2 linked regions of the Oreochromis niloticus genome follow. The protein of the gene in region 1 purifies or fractionates together with the protein of each later gene. This does not show direct contact. Links are inferred from orthologs where the notes say so. Each region holds a gene or a part of one and is shown on either strand. Other genes may lie near its edges.

The links.
Region 2: the proteins of sgsh (region 1) and sumf1 purify together in Homo sapiens (co-immunoprecipitation; 3 studies listed by BioGRID and IntAct, with this or other methods). This does not show direct contact. The link is inferred for Oreochromis niloticus from reciprocal best matches to the Homo sapiens genes SGSH and SUMF1.

The regions. Positions count from the first base shown.
Region 1 is NC_031971.2:32,474,935-32,482,841, forward strand, and holds the start of sgsh (N-sulfoglucosamine sulfohydrolase), read left to right. Parts: upstream 1-4,755; 5' UTR 4,756-4,895; coding exon 4,896-4,980; intron 4,981-6,464; coding exon 6,465-6,625; intron 6,626-6,703; coding exon 6,704-6,809; intron 6,810-6,899; coding exon 6,900-7,276; intron 7,277-7,907. Other genes in the region: slc26a11 (sodium-independent sulfate anion transporter), read right to left, coding at 1-76, 1,619-1,704, 3,235-3,427, 3,572-3,775. UniProt on the Homo sapiens protein: Catalyzes a step in lysosomal heparan sulfate degradation.
Region 2 is NC_031970.2:23,904,489-23,912,692, forward strand, and holds the start of sumf1 (formylglycine-generating enzyme), read left to right. Parts: upstream 1-5,051; 5' UTR 5,052-5,192; coding exon 5,193-5,510; intron 5,511-6,098; coding exon 6,099-6,272; intron 6,273-6,375; coding exon 6,376-6,450; intron 6,451-8,204. Other genes in the region: inositol 1,4,5-trisphosphate receptor type 1, read right to left, coding at 914-984, 3,630-3,721.

The DNA of each region.
Region 1 (7,907 bases):
CCTCAGGGATCTTGTGGAAGGTGTAGTAAACCTCCAGGAAAAACTGCTGAGGGACACCCTGGATTCCCAGAATATTCTAGAAAAAAAGAAAGAGTGGGTAAAACCACTGACTTTATGAATGGAAAAGGAGCGGGCAAGAGCAGTTCTCTCTTTGGAGTTTACACACTCAGTCAAGTTTAGGTTATACTCAAAATACAATTTTGAGTATAACCTAAACATTTATTGTTAATCAGTTCACCAACAAGCAATGAATGATGCAAATCCACCAGTAAAAGCTCAACACAGATTATAGTGCTCATTGGCCACATCTTTGACCTGTCTGCATGAGGTCAATGGGAGATTGATAGGGTGTCTTAGTGTTTGTGTGATTTTGTGGGAAACCACAACACAACTTTTTTCCTTATTTTGAAGGCAACTATCAATTTTATTGTATTTTATGTATGCTTGTGCAAGCAAGTGCAGCTTTCACATAAACAGACATTTATGAGAGGTATGAGTTTGTGAGCCCTGAAAGATTTCAACTTGCATTAATAAAAAAACACTGATGCAGAATATAGAGTTTTAACAAGGACTTTTCAAATATTTATTAAAGCCATGTGCTTAGTTTGTAGAGAGCAGACTGCTGTGTTTAAGTGTTTATTAAGAGACTAAACCGCAGAGAAGTACAAGAACCTGACTGAAGCAGAGCGGGAATGTACATCAGAGCCTGTGCTAGTAAAAAACACACCAATAAGGAGTTTTGCAGGCAGAAGGAGAACATGCAAACTGCACACAGAAAGGACCCAGCAGGTGGATTCAAACACTCAACCTTCTAGCTTAGAGGCACAGTACTAACCACTGGTCCACCCAATGCTCAAATCATTATTGTGGTGCTTTCTGGTGACTTTTCTATTTTCTTAGATGCCAATAAGCTAGTTGTGATCATTCTAGAGATTATTTTTTTTAATTCTGTGTGCTTCCAATGTATTTTTCTGCACTGCTTCTGAGTCTTTTACCCAGTGTTTTGTGTTTTGTGGTCTTTTCGAATTCTGTTTATTTTTCATTATCTTTAGTTTGCTGGTTTTGGTTTAGACTTTCACCCTTGTGTACTCCTTAGCATTTCAGTCTTGAGCATTTAGTTCAAATTACTGTTTCCTACCTTTTCCTTCTATGCCAGTTCCCCTACGTTTAGGCTAGTTCTGTCTGCAGTTCCCTTTTAGTTATTGTGCCTCTCTTCCTGTTTTATTTTGATACCATTTTGTCTCCTTTACATTGTGTTTAGTCTTACTTTCTCCCCTGCCTCATTGTGTCAATTATTTACACCTGTGTTTATTTGGCCCAGCTGTTCTACATTCCCCTAATCTGCCTTGGTGCAGTTATACCCTCAGTTTGGCCCTTGCTCTTTGTTATGTCATCTGTTATGCCTTCCTGTTTTCTCTGGTCTCATCTCCATCCTGGCTTCTGTTTATTTCTATAATATTTTCCTTTCTGCTCTGTTTTAATAAAGACTCACTTTTTAGCTTTTCATTCTTTTAAAGACTTTTTCCCTACTGAGGCATACAGTTTGATATGTTGTATATGCTGAGATAACTATGTATGTGTGTTAGTTTTTGCTGTGTGTGCATGTTTTCACTCTTACTTTGACTTGGCCAAATCCAATAGTTACTGCAGCAGCACATGTGAAGCCTTTTATTACAGGAAAAGAGATGAAGTCCAGAAGGAAACCTGCAGAAGAGAAGCAAAGTAGTGGATGATTTATAGGACCAAGACATTATATAACCTTCCAGATTTCAAATATTACAGTAACTCTTTAAGAAAAAAAATATAAATTCTTATTCGATAAGGAGCTTATTTTCATGTTCGTAGGCTGCCCATTCATTGCCGTTTTACCGTAAAATGACACAAGACTAGTAAGTCATTCAAAAATAAGCACAGCACAATTAAGTTTGGATCGGGTCCTGGCCAAGGAGAACATGAACCTTGTCTCATGTTCTCCTTGTGCCTGTGGAGTTTGCTCCAGGTACTATAGCTTCCTCCCACAGTCCAAAGACATGCTTGGTCGGGTAATGGCAAACCTAACCTAGGCTACGTTCACACTGCAGGCGAAAGCGCATCAAATCCGATTTTTTCGCCCCTATGCGACCCGTATCCGATCTTGGTATGACAGTGTGAACAGCACAAATCTGATATTTTCAAATCCGATCTGGGTCACTTTCATATGTGGTACTGAATCCGATACATATCCGATGTTTTAGAAAGCGACTGCTGTGTGAACGGTCAAGTCGCATTAAATCCGTCTTTTACGTCACTGACACAAGACAGACGCCAATTATCAACTCCATAGAGAAGCGCCCGATAGGACATCGCGAACGATTTCCTACCATCCGGTGAAACTGTTGGGAAGACAATGTTGGAGAAATGTGAACATTTTATTTTTACTGTATTTTCTGCAGATTCTGACAGAAATCTGCAACTATCCTTTGAAGCACTGCTCCTCTAAAACAGCAAAAAGGATCATTATTAGGTTATCTACATTATTATGTAAATAACAAAATAACTTAAAGCAAAAATCTGGAAACATAAAGTCGGAAGTCTTTATATTAAGGGCCATCAGTCAAACAATATTGTTTGCTCTGGGTCTAAACAGAGCGAGTTGTGTGTGACATCTTTTGCGCATGCGGGCCGCTTTGAGCGTTCACACTAGAGAGCGTTTGATGTCGCATTTTATGTGTAGTGTGAACAAGCAGACAAAAAAATCGGATTTGATCAAAAAATCGGAATTGAGCATTAAGACCTGCAGTGTGAACGTAGCCCTAGATGTGAATGTGACCATGAATGGCTAACTATCTCTGTGTGTCAGCCCTGTCCAGGGTGTATCCTGCGTCATGTCATATGAAAGCGGTGAGGGGGCTCCAGCTCCCTGAACTGGATATGTGGTTAATAAAATGGATGAACAGATGACTATTTAGGATCCACAGATTTTATAGTAGACTGTCTGCCTCTAAAATTTAAGTTCCTACATGATAGTTGCTCGATTTTTGTGATGTTGTTTTTACTTTTGGACTTCACCTTAAATTTTACACACTGGAGAATGTGATAAACTACCAGTGCTCTCAGACTCACACAAAAATGTGTGTTATTGTGAAAAAATATTTTGTTTTGCTTTCAGTGGTTCACAAGTTTTTGAATAAATTCAGGAAAAGCCAAAACTGAAATCGCAAGCTTTCCACATGACCTCGGGAGCACTCATTTCACCTAATCTCAGTAACGCCATCACAGCTTGGATGAGTCCACAGAGGAGGCTGAGCAGCACGGCTCGGTGAGGCTCCCCTCCCACCACAGAGGAGCATAAGAGGGACATGATGGCCGTGGGGCCCAGGGTCACATCCTTGGAGGTTCCCAGAAAGGTGTAGATGAACCCCCCCATGAAGGCCGAATAGAGTCCGAACTGTGGACAGAAAAGAAAATAAAGTCTGAACTAATTATGCAGCTAATTATTTTTTTCATCTTAAAGCTCATGTCTCAGGAAAAGAGGAAAGCCAAATTAGTTATCGAGAAGGAGGTGAACCCTAAAGGAAAGCCTAAGACTCGCCTGCACAGGAAGGCCGGCCACTTCAGCATAAGCCAGCGCTTGTGGTACAGTCGTCAATCCAACAGTGAGACCCGCGAGGACGTCCATCTTTAGCCACTTCAGGTTGTACTTTGGCAGCCATGAGAGGATGGGCAACCAGGCCTTCAAGGTGTTGTAGGAACAGCAGCGCCGGGCTGACTGTCTTCTCATGAGACGCCGCTCCATCACACTTAGAGGTTGAGACCGGCGGGAGAGGAATTCAGCAAAGAGACATCTGTAGCAGAAAAAAATAAAAATGAACAAAACAAAAGCCACTCACACAAAGCGTGAGTTCTCCCCTCAGCTTTGCTGGGTGCTGCTCAGGTTCCTGTTTTTTCCTTTTATTTCCTACCTCCTGCTGAGATATGCAGCATTCAGGAAAACGCCACAAAGATGCTGCTCATGCAAGCAGGTGTCGACCTGTTTGTTTGCATTTCTTCAAGCCGAGGACATATCTTCAGGTGCATGCTGTGATCTGCATGCCACAAAAAAAAAAAAAAACATTCACAAGCTCACTGTGTGTCATTTACAATCATATGACGATCATATGACAGCTGGGTGCTTTGCATATCTGTATCTGAACAGTCAGGACATGTTTTTTTTCATGAAGTCACCTTTACCTTCAAACTATAAACTTCCTCATCAGGAAAGTCCAACAGGCCCACAGTCTTACGTGACCTCAGACTGATACTTTATCTCCCACTGTGTCTGATTATGAGTCTATGTTACCCAGACTATAACAACCTTGTAATTATCAAAAAATAATGATAACAAACTAAAAACAGTGATGTGTTTGAGTGCAAGAGAGAAGAATGCACAAAAGAGACTGAATTCGTATACTACAGAATGGAAACAAAACAGAATAAAATACAAATTTGACCATATAATATAAAATAACTCCACAGTGTTTAACCGAACTGAACCAAAATAGACTAAAATAGACCAGAACAGACCAAAATAAAGTAGAAAAGACTAAATAAAATAGAATAAAACATAAATTCTTACACAGCGTGATGCTTTCTCTTGGCTGGGCTGTGATTTTTCACGTCTTTCTCTACTGTTCCTTCTGCTAAACCCACTTCCCCAAAAACATTTCGCTGACTAGGCGCGAGACAAGTCGTTTCCTGTTGTTTCTTTTTCTCCTCACGTGACTTGTGTCATGTGACTCCAAGTGGGCGGGGTTTGAGTTGTTTGAGGAAGCATGTTTCACGGCGTTCCAACGGTGCCTTTAAGTGCTAACTTTAGCGAGTTTTATTTTCATATTTAAAGTTTATTTTTCTGTGGAGAAATAGAGGAAGAGGTCAACATGCTCCCTCGGGTTGTCTGTCTTATTTTTTTAGCATCATGTTGCATCGGAGAGTCCAAAACAAGAAATGTGCTTCTAATAATTGGTGAGTTCACGTTTTTGTGCTCCTGGAGAAACTATAAATCCTTTCTGTTATATGGCTGGAAATTTAAAATGCTGAAATATACCCTCCTGTTGCCATTACAATTCTGTGCAAAAATCTCGAGCCACCCTTTAATTCGTTATATAACTGAGGTTCAATAGTTCCCGAAGATTTTCATTGGACATTGGCTGCTTGTTCACTCATTTTCAATCCACTCAAAAGTGGCAGGCTTAAAAAAAAAAAACTATCTTCAGCATTAATGATTAATGAAAGCGAAATGGGGAAAAGGCTAAGGTACACCAAATTACACAAGAATTGAACTGAAAATCAGCAGTAACAGTATTTTCTCCATATTGAATCCACATATGAATCCAAATTTGAGATTGTTGGTTCAAATCATTGTTAGTATGTAAAGAGAAGATCAGGAGAGAGGTACAACAGCGAGTGTCTACAGCTATCTGTATCAGGGCAGGCTCTGTCATGGTTTGGGGCTGCAGCTGGGGATCATAAAAACTGATGGACACAGAGATGGATGCAGAAAGCATCTTACTAAAAACAGCTTTAATATTTCAGGATGATCAAATGATCCCAAATGCACTGACAATGCAGTGAAAGCATGCCTGGATAGAAAAACACATACTGGAGTACCATCAGTCATGGATTGGCCTCCCCAGAGACTTTATCATTATAGTGATAGGGAACAGTGCAAAAGAACAGCTTTGAATGTCCTTCAAGAAGCCTGGAGAACGATTCCTGAAGACTGCTCAAAAAGAATTACAAGAAAGCTTGCCCAAGACAGTTCAGGCTGTGTTGAAGAAAAAGGATAGTCATACCAAATATTGACTTTTTGGATTGTATAAACTCTGTATAAAGAAATAAGTAGAGGCACAAGATTTGCACAGTACTGAAAGTGCATGATAGAGGTTATAACTGTTTTAGGCAGTTGCTTTTATTTTGTTTATTAGTAGAACCTCTCTCCATAACATAAAATAATTAAGTTGACCAAATCCAAACAAACTAAATATGAGGCAGAAGTCGGTTTGTGTGTTACAATCTTGAGCCGGATGTTTTTCTGAATGTTTTAACCTTCATGCAAGTAGATTTTTATTATCGTACAAATATTCTATAAAGGAATATGTTTAAAGTAAAACTAATCTAAAATGATCTGTCAGAAAATGCCAGAGAATTGGAAAAAAAATTAAAACTATACTCCGGGAAAAAGAAAAATGTCAGTGTCTCTTTACATGAAGCCTGATCCATCAAGAAACACTTTTCCTACTTAAATCCTCTGCACTAAACCCCAACCTTAAACCCATCCTGTACTTCTGAGAAGAACTGGAATTGTGACTTAAAGCCAGGTTTCATTACCCTACTGACTTTGCAAAGCAGTATGTAGATGCCAAAGATTTTAGAGATGATTAAAAGTCAGTTATGGGCATTTTGTTTGAGCTCCCGCATCAGTTTCTGTCTTTTCCTCCTCCTCACAGCTGATGATGCAGGTTTCGAGACAGAGGTTTATAACAACTCTGTGGTCCACACGCCTCACCTGCGCTCTCTGGCTCAGCGCAGCGTGGTGTTCAAGAACGCCTTCACATCTGTCAGCAGCTGCTCACCCAGCCGCTCCGCCATCCTCACCGGCCTGCCACAGGTGAGACACACACACCTGTGAATGCCTCTCATTAAAGCGATGTGAATTATTGAGGTGTGTTTCTCTTGTGGTTTCCAGCATCAGAATGGCATTTATGGACTTCATCAAGGAGTCCATCACTTTAATTCTTTTGATGAAGTACAAAGTCTGCCGCTGCTTCTCAAACAAACCAACGTACACACAGGTAGATAACAAAATGACCCGTTTTTCTCATGTCTATAAATAAATCTTTCTTATTTTTTACTTTTTAAACTCACTGATTCTTTCTTCACAGGTATAATTGGAAAGAAGCATGTTGGCCCTGGATCTGTTTACCCCTTTGACTTTGCCTACACAGAGGAAAACAGCTCTGTCCTCCAGGTGGGGAGGAACATCACTCGCATTAAACTCCTGGTCCGCAAGTTTTTCCAGACTCACAAAGAGGAAGCCTTTCAACGAAAGAACGGGGAAAAAGCAGAAGAAAGTAACCGGGAGAATATAAAGAGTGAAGAGAGGCCATTTTTCCTTTATGTTGCCTTCCATGATACTCATCGATGTGGACACTCGCAGCCCCAATACGGAGCTTTCTGTGAGAAGTTTGGGAATGGTGAAAAGGAGATGGGTAGAATCCCTGACTGGACACCACAGTATTACACACCAGACCAAGTAAAGGTCAGAGAAATCCCAGTTTCTACTTTAATCTATCTGTTTTATGTCATTATTTTACTGTTTTAAAAAGAAAAAGGCTATAAAAATCAAAGCAGGCTAGTCCATTTTGCTGAAATTTCATTGCAGCGGCTGACATTGTTGTATACATGCCTGACAGTGTCGGGGCATGCTCCTACTGAGATGGTAGATGGTATCATGGGGAATTTCCTGATCTCCAGATCTGGACCCGGACATCACTGAGCTCATAGATGGTCTGAGGTGTAACCTGGCAGCATCAGATAGCTTAAAACATAACATACCAGAGTTGTTCTATTGGATTTAGGTCAGGCAAACAAGGGGCCCAGTCGGTGGCATCAGTTACTTCAGGAAGTGCATGCATACTCTCGCCACATGAAGCCAGGCTTTGTCGTGCAACTGGAGAAACCCAGGAACCACTGTGCCATTGAACTGCGTGTGCCGTTGCCTAGCCTGTAGAAGTCTCTGCATCCCTGCATAAATATGCTTCCCCAGACCATCACAGAACCATCACCAAACTGGTCATGCTGAACACCATTCCAGGCAGCATTACATTCTCTGCAACTTCTCCAGACTTCTCCAGACTGTCACATGTGCTCAGGATGAGCCTGCTCTCATC
Region 2 (8,204 bases), on another chromosome or scaffold:
ATCCCCAAGACAGTGTTTGGCCCTATTCTCACAGCTGCAAATGCATCTGTATTATATACTCGAAATGGGAAAGTTAAGAACTAAAAGACAAATATAATAATTCAAATGGATAAGTACTCATATGTCTTATATGCTCAAAAAGTACAATGCTGAAAGGCTGTAATCACTTTCTTTTTTTACGCTTTTATAGAAATGGCCGATAAAATTACTTTGAATTGCCAAGGAAAACAAAGAACCAAGGACGACTACATTTCTCCCTTAAAAAACTTAAATTAAATTAAAATTAAAATCTGTATATGCGGTTGAAGCTCTACCAACGGTCTAGCTGTATTACATTTTTTTTTATTTCATCCAGCAGCAGCAAGCTAAAGTGCACTTTTCTTATGAATGTGTACCAGTGCCTGTGACTGCACAGGCCTTCAATCATATTCTGTGTACAATGTTTAGCCAGCCCTCCCCAAGGGACATAAACCTCTAGCCTGAGAACTGTAGGTCACGAGTTCTACTTCCTGTATGAGAACTAATAATAGCAAATTCACGCAAAGACACAGCTGAAGGATTTTTATTTAGAAAACAGATTCTCAAGTGGGTGTTTTTTTTCAACAAATCAGCAGCAGAGATGACTCTCTCCATCTGCCTCTACCTCCACAGACCTGTGCGAGCTAGGGCACACAGCTAATAAATGCATACATGGATGCATAACACACACACACACACGGTTAACAATGACAAAGGCAGGCCTGTTTGAAGTCCAGTGGGCTGAGATATTGAGATATTGTGGCTGTCACCAAAGAAACACAGCATAACACATTCAGCAGCAGGTCTTACATGCTTCACAGTATAAACAGATAGCAGTTAGTGCTATGAGGAGGAGTGTCACGAGGAAGAGGGGAGATTAATTTGCTCCTCTTACCTCTGAACTTCTTCGGCGGGTTGTTGAGGTCCCCAGCATCGGGCTGGACGACGCAGCGGTCATCCACCAGGCTGTAAATATGGACACATGACACATGTAAGCGCTATACATATAATAAGATCATATCCCAAGTTACCATGACAAAGCTGACAAAGCCCCAAGCATAACAACCATAGCAGCAATGAGGAATAGTTAAGTTCACGTTTAAAGTTGTTTTTTTAAACAAGACTCCAATAAATATGCAGTCATTTTCTTATTCTTCTATTATAGTGAGCTGAATGTTTATGAAGTTTGGACCATTTTAACAAAAATTAAATTATCTGCAATTAAGCCATTTTGATGTTTGTGATATTTCTAGAGCGCAAAATGAATCAATTGGTACAAAAAATATTTAGACACTGCTTAATTTAAAAAGAAAAAGTGCCAGTTGCAACCTAATTTCAAAAACACTGCATCAGTTGAGTGTGTTTGATTAATAATTTTACAGGACAGCACTGATTGGAAAAATCATTGCAAAAGGCCAGGAGGAACAAAGAGTTCATAATACTGAGACAGTCAAATTGATCAACACCACATTTTCAGAACTACAACTCAGCAAAATTGGTCAACATTTCTGCAGAGGTACTAAGATTGTCATTGTTCTTGGATATCAGAGTCACTGCAATTCATCATTCCTGTGGGTTTGTGTTTAAGCTTTCTGTGTGTGTGAGACTCAGGCAAAAAAGCATTTCCAACAAAAGCCCGTGCATGTGCCTGTGCATGTGCCTGCAAAACTCTACTTTTGTTTCATGAATTATCTGGGAGCTTTACATAGTTGCAGCATGTTTTAGCCTCCCCTTCCACAAAATAAGGAAATATTCTGGATTAAATGACCAGTGGCCAGACAGGAATTTCTGGTGACAAATTTAGCTTTCACTGGCTTAGAATAACACTTGTCTGGACACAGGCCAAATCCCACATCCACTTTCAGCCTTCTGAAGTTGCCCAAACAGATCTCACTGTTCCATCAGCCTGCACATCTCGAGGAACAAGACAGACTACAAAGGGCGAAAATATCTGTGCGTGTTAGGACAAATAACAGCAGAGTGACAAATTAAAGGAAAAACTTTTCACCTCTACAGTGAGGGCATTCGATTGCTCCATTATACTGTGGAAGCTCTAATCTCCCTGACCCCTTAGAAGGAATACTGAATGCAAATCGACACAAAGTTGTTGCTGAAAATAACATGAATCACATGCGCTGACCTTTGCAGTCACCAGATCTAAACCTAATTTACTACCAGAATTAGCCTTTGGATCAACATGTTAGTCAGTTTTCACCACCAGCATTGTCAAAACACAAAATGAGGGAGTATCTTTTGGAAACATGGTGGAGTCTTACTGAATCAGTGCTAAGCTCTGCTGAAGTTAATCTGGCATCAAAACTCCTTACTGCATTTAAGATGGGGGGGTCGTCTTTAATTTGTCACCCACCTGTGGGTAGTATGAGCATGTGTTGCTGCTTTACGCAACTTGACTTTCACATTGGTCAGTTATTAACACAAGTTTAATAGTTACACCTCTGCACAAACAAGACGGGTCCTGCTAAATACTCACTGCACACAGCAGCATTTTCAAAAAAAAAAAAAAAAAAAAAAGGGAAAGAGAAAAATGTAGCCTTTCATTTGCTCATATAACCCCCTCCCCTCTGCAGCTGCCGACTTGGACTGCTATTTGGGTGAAGAAAAAGTGTTAATATGTACAGAATTTTCTGAGTATGGTGTCTTACTTTAAGGGCAGTTGATCTGGAGAATGCTGCTGAGTTGGTGTTTATGCGTGGAGAGGATGGCTTCAGGCCAAAACTGTCATGACAATTTTCTAAATACATGTGCTAGCGTGTGCGTGTGCGTGTGCATGTGCGTGTGTGTTTATGTGGGAAGCACATGAACTCCAGAAAGGCCACAATGTCTCTATAGTGACTCAGTCTTCGCTGTGGGTCATTCCATTTTTCATGAGCCAGGAGGGGAGGTCCAGGACACTGAGCAGATAGCCCTGATACCATTACTAATGCTAAACGCCATGGTTTACCGTCTTGTGATTTCCGGGTGGTTTATACAAGCAAAAACATTAATGCAAACTTTCTCTTGTTGCTTTGTTTACATTCAGAACAAAGGGGAGAGGTTAAAGCAGCACAACTGAATCTTACTGCGCTTGTGATATTTCTGTCATATCCTAAGGCCAGCATTTCAAGCAGTAAGCCAGTATAAGTAATCCCAACAGATAGACCATATCAAAAACACGCATTTTACAAGTAAGGAGAATTGATGGAGGAAAACAATACATTAATGCTGTGACTGTGTGGGCAAATGAGTGGCTTGCCAACAGTACCACCAGACCATTTATTGTCTTCTAACTCTACCCTTACAACCCAGGCCTGCCCCAGACTTTATCATTATCTGCATATTTGTTGCACAAAATTACATTAACTACTTAATCCCATTCTGGGACCAAATGATGACCCTGTCGCTGCGTGTAAGCAAACATGTGCATACACAGGCATCGGACTAAAAGGAAGAAATGTGCTTGTTCTCGACTTTGTCATCAAAATGGTTAACAGTTGCTACTACAAGTGTGATTTCCTCCCTTCCAAAAAAAACTGCTGGCTCAGTATCGTGACTGAGCAGCATTTTTTAAGAAAAGTGTGAAGTGGGCCCTCCACACAGGCACAGGGACATACCCTAGGGTGCTGATGAAACCATTGGTTGATCCCTCTGCATACAGGGAGCAGATGTCCCCAATGTGTAGGAAACTGGACATTTTGTCCGACATGTTTGGCACACAAGGGAGCACCTGTATGGGAGAAAATATGGATATTATTAGATCATTTGATATAACATGCCTGTCATGGACACATACCATCATGCATTTATTCAGTATCCATACGCAAATTAATAGTTCCAAGTTAGAAGCAGGTTTGAGAGAGCGGGTTCCCTAGGTGGAGACTACACTAACACAACTGTCTGGCTGCAAGGATTTGCATAGAGAGGAAGAGAAAATGTTTATTACTGTAGCCCCGCTGGTGTTGTGTTGCGCCTTATATGTTTAGGAGCTGCAGCTGCCAACAAGGTTTATGCACCTGCAACAGGTCATGGCCACTAAAAGCTGATAGAGAGCAATGCAGGTCCCCTCCACTCAGGTTATCTGCCTGTGTGTTTTTCTTTTTTCTTTTTTTAAAGCACTGCCTCTCAGTGAGGTCGATAAAGCCCCATAACAAGTTATTCTGGTGGCTTTCCGACCGCCGTCTGTTACAAGCCCGACCAAACGATCACACAGCAAAAGCTCGGATCTTCTTCATCTAAGCACCGAAGCGCCAGCGAAACTTGAGAAAGCACATCCAGCGTTAGCATTGTAATCGCGGCTCACTATCACATTGCTTCACAGCAGCCCGAAATCATTATCGGCGTAAGATCCATCCGACCGTGATACAATCTTGTTGGGCTTCTCTTTAAAAAAAATTATTATTCACTACAAAGCGCCGCTTTTGAGCTCTGAGTGGTTTTTTAACCATTTAAGGAGAACTAAATCCTTTTTTTCCCTTCTCCGCTGCGAGAAGATAGAGATATGAAAGGAGGAGGATGGCAAACTGCTCAAGTTATGCTCTCAACTTTACCTCGGCTGTGCTCGGATATTTAGCTTTCTCTGGGCCAGCTAAGACAACATGACTGCGGTTCTCCTCTCCACCGGGTCGGGGGGTGAGATCCAGGCGTCAGCGACTGTAATAATCCAGTTTTTTGACAGCTCGGACACCTTTCCGCGCCTCTCGGTGCTCCCGCAGCTTGTGCTCACTGAGGCAGGCAGGCACTGGCTGGTTGAACTGCCTGGCTCACTTCCACTTCTTCTCAAGCGGCCGTAGTGTTGATAGCTGGGAAATGATGTCCACGTCGCCCCATCCTACCGCTAAGAAAATCTGAGCTGTTTTATCACTACTGCTACTGCGCTGCCCAGATTTATACGGCTAAGAAGAAGTCTTTTTTATGTAAAAAACAGAAAGGTCAAAAATCTGTGTGATTTTGGGCGAATAAGTCATTGAAGTGTATTTCAAATAAGCGATTTTATTAATATCATCACAACCGAATGTAGCTATATTTGCGAGCCATGATCAGAATTTGCAGTGTTTTTGTGGATTAACAGAATTTATTCCACAGCAAACATTCACTTCGGGAAGGAAAGGGTTACGTTTTGTTACACTGTAGCCAGCTGACTGACCACGTGACTTTACGGAAGTAACAGTGTCAACAGCATGCACGGACCCTGGGCTGTGCCTTGGAATAAAAAAAATATCAAAATGCTGCGTTATTTCACCCTATTGTTCATATTTGGATGTGTGAGCAAAGTGTTGTGTCTTCAGAGTTCATGTAGCGCAGAGCAGGAACCTCCAGGCGTGGAAAGAGGGGCGGGCTGCGGCTGTGATAAGCTGACTAGAGACGCTCCAGCTGTGGACCCCTTGGACGAGGATGAGGGTAAAGCAGCTTCCACAGACCCTGCTCTCAAATACTCCAAAGACGCAAATGACAGGACGAATCAGGTGCAGGACGATGAGCGGGAAACACAAAGTCCGGTATGTTGCGACTCCTGTTACAGAAAAACACCGCTATTTTGTGAGAGTGTGGAGATAAGGTTATGCGTGCAAAATGTCATAAAGTAGTTACCAAAGTCGAATCTAATCGTTCTTGGAACTATTAGGCCTCCTGAGGTTCCCATGCATAAGCAAGGCCTTGTAGCCAATCAGCTGCAACACAGATCTGTCGATTAACACCAAAACCAATGGTTGCAAAATTGTGTCCACATATGTGCTAATTTTAGTTGTGTGTTTAAATAAACCATAACACCATGTGCTGTAAATATGACTTGAATGCAGAAGCAGGAAGTGTGACAGCCTAGCCTTTGTTTCCTGTAAGTTACCCTCTTAAGGCTGCACGTTTGTGGCACTCTGGTGTCATATTTTTTATTTCTACTGTTATTTCTATTATTTGTAGGTGGCTAATACCTTAGATTATTACTAGATATATTATAGATCTTCATTGTTTTATTGTGTTCTTTATTGGTTGTTATGATCTTGTAAGAGTTATTAATCCTGAATCTACATTCCAGTTTATAGCACAGTTTGTTTGCATATGTAAATAAAAAATGTACTTGTTCTGTGCAGATGGTGCAGATTTCTGGAGGGGAGTTCCTGATGGGAACAGACAACCCAGGCATCCCCCCAGACGGCGAGGGCCCCCAGAGACTCGTGTATGTGGACTCCTTCAACATGGACATCCATGAAGTCACTAACCAACAGTTTCAGAGCTTCGTCCTTGCGACAGGATATGTGACTGAGGTGTTAAAAAATATTTAAAAATTAAACCATATTTTTCTGTGAGTGGTTTTCACTATCCTGGTGTTGTTTTTTGCCCATAAAATCTGTCTTTTCTGATTTTTAGGCAGAGAAATTTGGAGACTCGTTTGTTTTTGAGGGACTTTTGAGCGAGCCAGTGAAAAGCCAAATCACTCAAGCAGTAAGTGTACCACTGAGCAGGCGACTTACCTGTGCAGCTCACTTTTTACATGCTACATCAGTTGTAGCTTTGAAGGAAGACATGTGCAGGCTACATGTCATACTTTCGATTTCACTGCACAAAACGAGCACACAGTGAAAGACGCGCTCTACATTAGTTTGCACTTATGCAACAATCTAACAAACTATTTATTGCTTACACTTAGATATCGGTAGCTTGCAGGACTAGAGGTCCAAGTTCACACACTGTGTTTAGTAGACAACATTAAATATTAAGTGTTGTAATAAATGTAACCTCACAGACTTTTATGCTGTGTTTAGATGTCTGTAAATGTTTATGTGTAAAAAGCTTTTTTGTTCATGTAAGTACATGTAGCTAAAGTTCCCAAAGGGAGTTTTTCTCTCCCACAAACAACACTGATGCTGAGCTAGGTCAAAAGTCTCATTTGAACCCCATGCTTTTCTCCTTTGAGTTCTCTATGTCACATTTTCATGATGCCTACCTTGTGGCTATTTTATATGCCCTCAAACCAAAGTATGAGCAGTCCACCCTTTTTTGAGCCACTTCTCTCACTCTAAAATGTCCCAGTCACAAGAAAAGCACGCCAAATTTTCTGTTGTTGGCAGCAAAAGAGTAAACACAGGAGTCTTTATGCATGCTCTGAATCTGAGGACACAGTGGATCGGCTTTATTTTTGATGTCAGGGTCCCCACAACGGATGGAAAATCCTAATGTTAGCTTGCTGCATGACAAAATGTGGCTAATTTGTTTATCAAACGCCCAGAGGCTTGATAATCCAGTTCTTCGGCATGTGACAGTTTCACCTACAGTCTTGTGCTTTGCAAAAATCAAAATATCATGCCAAATAGGAAGAAGCCTTAAAGCACCTCCTTCATGGAAAGTCACCTTAAACAGTTTTTACCTGTCAGCTGTAAAAGGTTGATGGGGTACTGTCGTCACCCCGCCAGGTGGGCAGGCAGGTGGCGTGAATACACAAGTCTGTAAATGCAGAGAAACAAGCAATGTAGGAATTTTAAGTTGATATTTTAGGTGTATTTACTAGGAGGCTGAGGGGTAGCACTGGCAGCTTCCAGTATTTTTTTATTTTTCTGCACACAGGACCGAAGACTTTTACCACACTTCAGCAGCAACATGAGTCTATGAACTTTAGAGCATGCTAAAGATAGTTTTTGTGGCTTTGGACAGAACATTTCCAAGAGACTGGTGTTTGGTGCTTCCTGATGTTTCTAGTTTTCACTGTGTGTTCATTAAATACCTACAGCTTGACAGGTTTACCTATAGAAGTCTTCTGTATGACCCTCAAACCTAGAGGATTCCACACATTTACCCATATGGCACAATAACAATAACTTCACTAATTACTGCTGCTTATAATAGCTTTTTATTGTCACTGTTACAAGAACAGTGAAAGGCAGTTTGGCATCTCTCCATGTGTGTGGAGTACACAATAGCGTAAGTAATTACACAATAATAGACAAATTTACATTTACACAAGAAAGATATGTACAAGTTATACATACACCTGCAAACATACACGCACATACATACATATATGTATATATACATATTTGCATCTGTACATGCATACACACACATATTTCCACATACACGCTTACATCTATATACATACACATACATGCCATCTAACTAGCAGGTGCATTGAGAGGTGCAGTGTGATCAGTGATATTGCACATTGAGTGGGGGGGGGGCGTGCTGTTGGAACTATACTAAAT